2 linked regions of the Daphnia pulex genome follow. The protein of the gene in region 1 purifies or fractionates together with the protein of each later gene. This does not show direct contact. Links are inferred from orthologs where the notes say so. Each region holds a gene or a part of one and is shown on either strand. Other genes may lie near its edges.

Region 1 (5,120 bases):
AATCTATAATTGTGGGGAAACCAACTGCGAAAATTCGCAGGTTCCGTTTGATTCTGATTAACCAAACTCTTGTCGAGAAATACGGCACACATGGGGCTGCTCATCACCAACTCGCCAACGAAGAAGCAAAATAGAAAATTTTAGTTGTAATAAAAAACAAAAATTACATTGTTTATTTTTATTATTAGAACGTTGACAGCATTACGTCCACCTTTCATTTAACTGCCGATCGAGTAGCGAAAAATGATCCAACGTCATTTATATGGACTGAAGGAATGACACTAATTGTACCAAGACCTGAGGAAGAAAATCGTTTATTCGCTTTCATCGGTCCATTTCAACCTATGGTGAGCTATCTGCCTATTTCCTTTGATCACTTTTTCTTCCAATTGCGCTACTTACGTTTTTTTTATGATTTCAGGTTTGGTTGCTGATTTTCATCAGCATTTTCCCTGTCATTGGCGCGATGACTTTTTTTACGTGGTTCTACCAACATCTTCATTGGAATAACGATGCCGCCAAGAACAACAATTCCATTCGATGGTTTACAACTATCCCTAGTTCCCACATGATTTACGTGATTAATACCCTGACGAATCAAGGTAAACGATTTTTTGCGATTATTTCAACTTAAATGTTTTGCCGCTAGTACTCTGCCGCTAATTTTCTTAACTTTAATAGGGGGTAGAGAAGCATTTAATCGCTTCTCATTTCGGGTCCTGACTGGAGTTTGGGTTTTGTGCGCTATGGTTTTGGTCAATTGTTACACTGGAATCGTCACATCTTCACTCACAACGCCAAAGATGAAACCGACCATAAACTCATTTGAAGACTTGGCCGCAAGCGAAGAAGTTGGTATAGTTCTGCGAAGTGATACGACGATCGGAAATCAGATCCTGGTGAGGTCATTTCTCCTTTATTTTCTAAATCAAATCCTCATAAGCTGTTCCTGGATTCACTAGAAGGCGACATCCGGTATTTATAAGGTTCTTGGGGATGAAGCCCGACGTAATCCTAATCAAATAGTTGACAATCCTTTCAAGTTGACCGCAACACTGGAAACTGGACGCTACGCTTATCCTTATGTAAGTGTATAAAGACAGAGATTAACATGATCAATTTTTGAACTTTTCTGTTTCATTAGCTGCACTCTTTATGCTATGCCTTTGTCTGTTCTCAATATGAGAAAGACGGGATGTGTCGCTTTAAATTATCGAAACTTTTGCCCGTTTCCATTGGATTTACGTCTTTGTTTTTTAAAAAAGGAAGTTTGTTTACTAAAGATATGGACAAAGGGTATGTAACCATTTTAAACACCCTAAATTTTTACATCTTGATTTTTTATTTATTTATTTCAATCCTAATATATTTACAGACTTATGGAACTGTGGGAGAGTGGACTTGTCCGTTTATGGATTAATAATATTCATTCTACTCCCAAGGCGAAACAGTGTTTTGCCGATACGAAACGTGGAGTCACCCGCGTAGTCCCCATTCAACTGTCGGACTTAATTAGCGCTTTCTTTATCCTTGCTATCGGTATTGGATTGGCGACGCTGAGTTTCTTACTGGAAATAATCCTATCAACATTACGTCGAGAGAGGCTTTAGTTAATTTAAGCATTTATTGCAGCAGGTATGTGCTGCACTACATCAATAGGGCACGTTGTGTAGTTTCTAATAATAGTCTTTTCGTCTAATAATATCCTCTTTTATATATTTATATATACGTCTTAAACAACCTTTACCGAATTTTAATCCGTTTTTACTTCTCCTCCTGGGGCATGCGAACGTTTTTAGCTTAGTCTTGTAACTCCTGATACGAATTAACTAACTAGCAGTTGATTTGCTAGAATACACATTTGTTTAAAAGTTTGATTGTCTCAAGAAATTTTATTGGTTGCTACAGTGACTAAAAGAGGCAAATTTAATGCTGCCCAACGGTAGGTCGGTAGGTAATGAGGAAAGACAGGATAAAGTTTATTACACGTGAAGCTCAAGTTATCGTCGTAATTCAGTAATTGTAATGGAAATAATTTTGAAATCGTAATAAAAGGCCTAGCTTCTAAGATATGACAACGAAAATCACTTGATTGCAATCCTGAAAAATTTGGTTGGTATGAATTTGGTTCATGCGTTGGTTTTTATCAGAGAAAAAGAAAATGAGGAAGAAAAGGCTCAATTTCAAATTTTGGCGGTAATTTTTTCTCAAAGGTTTAGAATTTCAACACTAGATGTCGTTTGCGTAAAGCTTTTTATCAAACATTTGCTGTCGTCTGCCTAGTTGCGTGACATTTTTTATCGGGTTAACTAACTTTGTTATTGAATAAACGGTGAGACAACAATCTACCTTCAAGTAAGAAGCCGAATCACAGCACGTTATACGTTTACTGATTTAATTGTCCCAACAGAAAATGAACTCTGACGATGAAGACAGAGACAGCAGTAACAGAGATACTTCATCGATGTCGGACGAAGATTCTGATACCGACATAGCCACAGTTCTTACCCAGCTCATCAGGAGGTTAGTTAGTTATCCCTTCATGATAGTAGAGTGGCTTGCAGATCATCTTAATATTCAACAATTCTTTCCCTTTCTGGGAAACCACAGTGGCCGAGCTCACATTCTTTCAGAAAGAAACTCAGTATTTGAAGAAAGAAACGAGTCTTTCTTTGATTTCCTTCCAAATGCCCAACCACCCCCTGTTGACAGCACACCTGATTTAACTGTTCTTGAGGTAAAATGAGTTTGTTTAGACATAACAAGAAGGTACCTCTTTTTAATACCAGTTTTTCTCTAGGGGACTGATTTGTACTTATCAACATCTCTATCATCAGGAATCTACAAGCACGGTTGCAAATCCCATTCCACTCGTGTGACATCACTACTGTACCAGCGTCAAGTAGGGATGAAGGGTACAGGGCATTTTTCTGGTGGAGACAGGAGCTATATTGGCCACAACTATTTGCCTAACAAATTCAAACAAGTTGCCAACTGCAATCACAAAATGTTTTGCGGGACATATTCTAAAGATGGCAATATTTTCCTCAGCGCTTCACAAGGTATTACAATTGACTTTGTGTTGCGCAAGAAAAGATTTAATCTTTGCTTTTCTTCAAATTCATAGATCGAGTTATCCGTGTGTTTGACACATCAAAAGGCGGATTTGATTGCATAAGGAAAATCCCCGCCCGAGATGTCGGATGGAGTATTCTAGACACAGCGTTCAGTCCTGATGGACGTTCCATCATTTATTCTAGTTGGTCGGAAGCCAGTAAGTACCTTGAAACATAATTCGACTTAGTAAAAATGTTGTTAATGCGTTTGGTTCCATTTTCAGTCCACCTTTGTAACATTTACGATGAGGTGGAAAGACATGAAGTTCTCCCACTTTCCCCGGAACTCCGACGGTTTTGTATTTTCAGCCTTACTTTTTCTCAAGACGGAAATGAAGTATTGGGTGGTGCCAATGACGGCTGTTTGTACATTTACGATTGCGAAAAACGACAGAGAACGCTCAGGGTAAAATTACTATTTTGTTTCGTACCCACCAACAGTCCTTAATTAACCTCCCATCTTGTTTAGATTGATGCCCACGAAGAGGACGTGAATACTGTGGCCTATGCTGACGAAACTTCGCAGATCCTATTTTCTGGAGCGGATGATGGATTATGCAAAGTTTGGGATCGTCGAACGTTGGCGGAAAACGGAGAGGCTAAACCGGTGGGCATTCTTGGTGGCCATGTTGACGGACTTACGTTCGTCGACTCGCGTGGAGATGGCAGACATTTGATTACAAATAGCAAGGACCAATCCATCAAGCTGTAATCTCAATACTTGTTTTATCTATCGTAAAAAAAAAAACATTTAAAAAATGTGCGATTAATTAGATGGGACATGCGCAAATTCTCAGGAAACGAAGTTCAACAAAAGACTAGAATGCTTATGAACGCCCAAAGTTGGGATTATAGTTTCCAAAACGTTCCGTGGAGGCGTAAGTTAACTTTTTGTTATTGTTTATGTTTAAAATCTCAACTGAATTATTATTCTTTGGCAGTGGCTTCTCCCAAAAACAAGATCGCCGGTGATACTAGTTTGATGACATACCGCGGACACAGTGTCTTAAGAACTTTAATCCGATGCCGTTTCAGTCCAGCATTTAGCACTGGGCAACGATATATTTACAGTGGTTGTGCAGCTGGAAAAATTTTCAGTGAGACCCCAATAACCTAGTATTATCAATCTAAACCAATTTAATTTTTAAATATTTGCAATTTTAGTTTATGATGTCCTGACTGGAAAGCCTGCAGCGATTCTGACTGGTCATTCTGAATGTGTTCGGGACGTCTCTTGGCATCCATACTCCATGGATATTATCGATTCAGCGGTATGAAATATTATTTCTAATTTTTCTCTATGAATTCCCAAAGTTTAATCAACCGGGGTAATAGTGGGACGGCCGACACTTCAAGTGGTTCCATTCCTCAGCCGATTCCGAGGACGAAATGGATTTGGACACGGAAGAGTACATTACCGACAGCGAATCCAACGATTCCAATCCTAATTGGATGCAGAGGCAGCGCCGCTCATATCGAGATGACGACGCGGCTGATGGCGGAGGTGATCGCGAAGTGCGTAGGAGTCCACGACTGGCCGCTCGAGCAACTCCACAGACGGCCCGGAGAACGTCACAGAGGCAGCGACAAGCAGCCAGCCGCCGCCCTCTTTCATAAGTCTTGTCCGCACCATATATCCTTTAATACAACACACTTGTTTCGAAACACTTCATAACTACAAAAAAAAAACGCAACGCAGTCATTTGTTTCAATTCTGTGTACAGTTATTGGTGTTACCTTTAACTGAAGCAGGCGTGGTGCGCTCAATTCACGCGCTTCTATCGATACGTTAACCTTCCCTCTTTTATTTTACTTTTTTGTGATAGATGATCAACTTCCTCCCGGGTACGATGCATCTAGTTGTGCTGGATAATTTGATGCGTGTGAAACTCTCAAGTAAATGAGAGTGGAAATTTCCAAGAACAATTCTTCTTGTTATTTGTATAATTATTTTTTTTTTTTCATTTTTTTCTCCTGGGTCTTTTATATGTTTATAAAAAAAGG
Region 2 (4,232 bases), on another chromosome or scaffold:
GCCGAAAATCTTGGATATCAAGCCTGAATCTCTTCGTACTCGATTCTTGGAGGTTAGTTGTGTTCTAAAATCTTACTTCACTGTTAAAATGATGAAAAACTTCGATTGACCCCGGAACAACCTTTAGACCCAGAAATGGGAGAACCCTCTAAAGGCCGGGGACAGTGATATAAAATGCCTTTACCGGCAGTCTGATTTAATTAAGACTCAATTATGAATAAGTTCGTAATAGAATAGTTGACTAATCGGTTACATGTTCATAGGGTGTTCGTAACGTGGCTAGCGTTTCTCTTCGCATTGGTTACCCAACTTTGGCCTCTGCCCCTCACTCGTTGATCAATGGATTCAAGAACTTGTTGGCTGTTGCTGCCGCAACCAACATCGAGTTCAAAGAAGCCATGACGGTTAAGGAGTTCTTGAAGGATCCCAGCAAGTTCGTTGCTGCCGCCGCTGCTGCTGCTCCTGCTGCTTCCGCCGCCCCGGCCGCCGCTGCTGCTGCTGCTCCCAAGAAGGAGGAAAAGAAAGAAGAATCCGAAGAAGAGGATGATGATATGGGTTTCGGTCTCTTCGACTAGACGCTCTTGTCAGATTTTGATCCAGTTCTGTTTACAGTTGATGAAATGTTATTACATGGTGAGCTTTGACTCATGTACCGCGGATACTTTTATGAACTGTAATAAACTGACGATTAACGGAATGATTCGTGCTTAACTTATTCTTTTGATATCCCAGTTTGTCTTGAACGATTCTTTCATTAATAAGGTTCAAGTTTCCTCTGCATTAATTGACATAATTTCTTGAAGCGGGTACGCGGCGTTTGGGTGGATGTAATAAATGAAAAGTAATTCGGACGCATACTCAATTGCACTTTGCATTAATTTATTCAAACCGCAAAATATAAGAATTTACAATATGTATTAAATATCTCATTCAATGTTATCATGAATTTTAACAACATCGGGCTCTTCTTCCAACTTACTATAGAGCTTAGAAACTAATGCTAAGTCTTCTTCGGATTCAATCTGAACTCTATTTCGTGGGATATAGAGCAAGTCAGATTCTATTATGCAATAGCCAAGCTGACTAACAGATCTCTTGACATTCAAAAAATCCCTTGGGCTGCATGTGAAGACAAACTTGCCATCTTCATCAGCTAGAAATTACCACAGAATTTCGGATAATTGCATAATGTATATATTTCACTTGAATGATACCTGTTACATCTTCCGCCCCGACGTTAATAGCATCGTCAAGTACTTGCTCAATAGTTTGGCCAATAGATAATGGTGACACCTTGATTAATCCTTGATGGTTAAACAGATTGTTTGAAACTCCTTCTGCCCATGATGCACTGACAAGAAAGGATTATTATTACTTATAAGTCAATTCATACACTACATTTACCAGTAATTTTAAACTTACTTGAATTTCCTGTTGATTGTATTGATGCCTTGTCTTGCTTTCAAATAACTAGGAGTGAGAACTTCTACCACGAAAAAGGTTCCCACTGGTCCTCTTACTTCCATAACATAAGGTTTTAAATCCTCAGTAGACTGATCAGCATTCTTTAGAATATGTTTCAACTTTTCAGAGGGCACATTATGATGCCTTGCTTGATCTACAAGATGACTAAGTTTTATATTTTGTTTTGGATCTGCCGAGCCATGTTCTGCAACAAAGAATTGTATGTTAATGCTAAACTTTGTTTCAACCAAAAATTAATACTCAGTATACAAACCTTTAATAGCTGCCTGATTGTTGTGATTGAAATTCAAGAAAATGTTATAGTTACACTAATAATGAGAACACAAATTCAAAATACCCTAATTTGACGAAAAATTCTTAGATGTAAAGTTGCTCTTTCAGCATCCTTTGCACCCTTCACATGTTTGATGTTGGCCCATTTACTATGCCCAGCCATGTTTCTTGAGAGCGGAATCAAAATACCCAAACGAATCTTTTGAAACATGATAAATTATTGTTAATATTTTTTGAATTATTATAAAAAGAAAACAAAATGCAGTTCCGGTAAATATCTTTTCGTCTGCTGTTTTAGTCTCGCTACAACGTCGACTGCTACGCTTTCAACTTCTTCTTTTCAAACGCAGATCACTTCCTGATATTCGATTTTCTTGAATAAAACAATGGAGACTGAAGAGAATAATCAGAATGTTAACCATGTAATGGCTTCATCGGGGGCGACAGGAAGTATATCAGTTTTATTGCATCCCTTGGTTGTGATGAATATATCTGAACATTGGACTCGAGTGAGAGCCCAGGAAGGGAAAGCACAGCAAGGTAATGTTTATGTGATGTACATTTTAACTCTTTATTTATTTTGTATACACAATTTCATAGTGATTGGTGCACTCATTGGAAAGCAGAAAGGAAGAAGCCTAGAAATCATGAATTCCTTTGAACTGGTTTTCACTGTTATTGAGAATGTGGTAATTGACCGAGATTACTACAACACAAAAGAGGAGCAATGTATGAAATTTCCCATTCTTTACTTATTAAATGTTCTTCATAATTTCTTTTTATCTTTAGTCAAGCAAGTGTTTAGTGATATGGATTTCCTTGGCTGGTATACCACTGGAGATGCTCCCAATGAATCTGACATTCATGTCCACAAACAAATATGTGAGATTAACGAAAGTCCTGTAATTTTGAAGCTTAATCCTTTTACACGAAATGCTGACCTCCCTGTAACAATGTATGAATCTGTAATTGATCTTGTCAATGGAGAGGCAACTATGCTCTTTGTTGAATTGACTTATACTTTGGCCACAGAAGAGGCAGAAAGAATTGGAGTTGATCATGTTGCTAGAATGGCTTCTGGTGATTCAGCTGAAAGTTCTCAAGGTAATTTTAATTCATTAACATTATCCTTATGAAACTGTCATGGACATACTTTTCTTTTTTAAACAGTGGCGGAACAATTGCAAGCCCAACACAACGCAGTAAAAATGCTTGCCAACCGAGTGCGATTGATATTAGAATACATTCGAGCCATGGAGAGAGGAGAGGTTCCAAAGTCTCACGAAGTCTTACGCGAAGCTAAATCTCTGACCCACAGGTTACCTGTCCTCAACTCTGAAATTTTCCAGGAGGAATATTACACCGTAATTATATCTTAACTCTTTGTTAATTGGGTTGATTTTTCTAATCTTGTTTTCTTTTGTCTTGTAGCAATACAATGATGTCTTGCTGCAAACCTATTTGGCATCCATTACCAAAGCATGTCACGACCTTCACCAGTTTGTCACCAAATTCAACATACTTTGCGACCGTCAAGGCATAATGGGTCGCCGAATGCGTGGTCTCTTTTTCTGAATTGTGAGCATTGTATAACATATTTAAGGAAACATGCTTTGTGCCCTACCTAATACATATTGGTTTTGATCAAGATTCCCATTTCAGCTACATTTCCATCCAAGGTGTGTATTGAAAATGTCAGCTTAATCATGGCAGTGTAATATCAAGTCCATATGGATTATTTTTCTTAAGTTTATTGGCCTCGTAATTTAAGGCGTCCTTTGTTAATACAGAGTGTTAGTATGAGATTAGCAGTCTGTTGGATTTGACAAATCCGGCAAATCCGATACACTGGAGATTAGCTTACATCGAAACTATGGGTCCTAGCCAAGATGTTGGTTATTTAAAGATTTACTCGACTTAACAATATCGTTCGTTGTTTGGCAGTTTTTTTGTAATTTTTAAAATTATTTAATGAATTCGTGATCCAATATAACTTAAATTAATTGTAGTTGAGCTCACAGAAAAAAGGAAATTTTGGCATCTAAAATTATTTGATTCAGATTCCAATCTTTTTTTCCAATTCATTTTGACAACACTGGAAAAATGTGTTATAATATTATGCCAAAATGTGTAGGTACAGATTTACAACGCCGATCATAATCGCAACGACATCTTTATTTAACAGCTTTTCAGTAAGCTTCTGGTTTTTTTGGCTATTCTGGTTGAATTTTCCTATTTGGCAGCAGCCTTTTTCGACAGTGTAATCACAACATTGCAGAAAAAGGTAAAAAAATAAAAGATCATGGCTCTAGTTTAATCAACTAAATTCATCAGCATCCGTTTGTGAAACCAATTTAATTTGTAGCCCGTCATTGAAGCATAGATTCAAATGAGAAATGTGTGTTAACTCCGTGAGCTGCTGCAGACGAGGACCGACGAAAGTGGGAGGAAGCTCTTATTGCCGCCATCATGTG

Evidence for each region.
Region 2: the proteins of DDB1- and CUL4-associated factor 11-like (region 1) and COP9 signalosome complex subunit 6-like purify together in Homo sapiens (affinity purification with mass spectrometry; 6 studies listed by BioGRID and IntAct, counting the BioPlex papers as one, with this or other methods). This does not show direct contact. The link is inferred for Daphnia pulex from reciprocal best matches to the Homo sapiens genes DCAF11 and COPS6.

The regions. Positions count from the first base shown.
Region 1 is NC_060025.1:8,378,777-8,383,896, forward strand, and holds the start of DDB1- and CUL4-associated factor 11-like, read left to right. Parts: upstream 1-2,247; 5' UTR 2,248-2,355; intron 2,356-2,410; 5' UTR 2,411-2,413; coding exon 2,414-2,737; intron 2,738-2,800; coding exon 2,801-3,062; intron 3,063-3,127; coding exon 3,128-3,274; intron 3,275-3,340; coding exon 3,341-3,522; intron 3,523-3,585; coding exon 3,586-3,824; intron 3,825-3,890; coding exon 3,891-3,994; intron 3,995-4,057; coding exon 4,058-4,213; intron 4,214-4,280; coding exon 4,281-4,387; intron 4,388-4,451; coding exon 4,452-4,733; 3' UTR 4,734-5,120. Other genes in the region: glutamate [NMDA] receptor subunit 1-like, read left to right, coding at 189-347, 422-602, 682-899, 963-1,085, 1,145-1,296, 1,376-1,610. UniProt on the Homo sapiens protein: May function as a substrate receptor for CUL4-DDB1 E3 ubiquitin-protein ligase complex.
Region 2 is NC_060019.1:12,303,115-12,307,346, forward strand, and holds COP9 signalosome complex subunit 6-like, read left to right. Parts: upstream 1-2,056; 5' UTR 2,057-2,144; coding exon 2,145-2,298; intron 2,299-2,358; coding exon 2,359-2,487; intron 2,488-2,547; coding exon 2,548-2,862; intron 2,863-2,928; coding exon 2,929-3,122; intron 3,123-3,189; coding exon 3,190-3,333; 3' UTR 3,334-3,408; downstream 3,409-4,232. Other genes in the region: 60S acidic ribosomal protein P0-like, read left to right, coding at 1-52, 264-575; probable transcriptional regulatory protein FMG_0893, read right to left, coding at 927-1,153, 1,215-1,351, 1,423-1,669, 1,739-1,751, 1,823-1,969. UniProt on the Homo sapiens protein: Component of the COP9 signalosome complex (CSN), a complex involved in various cellular and developmental processes.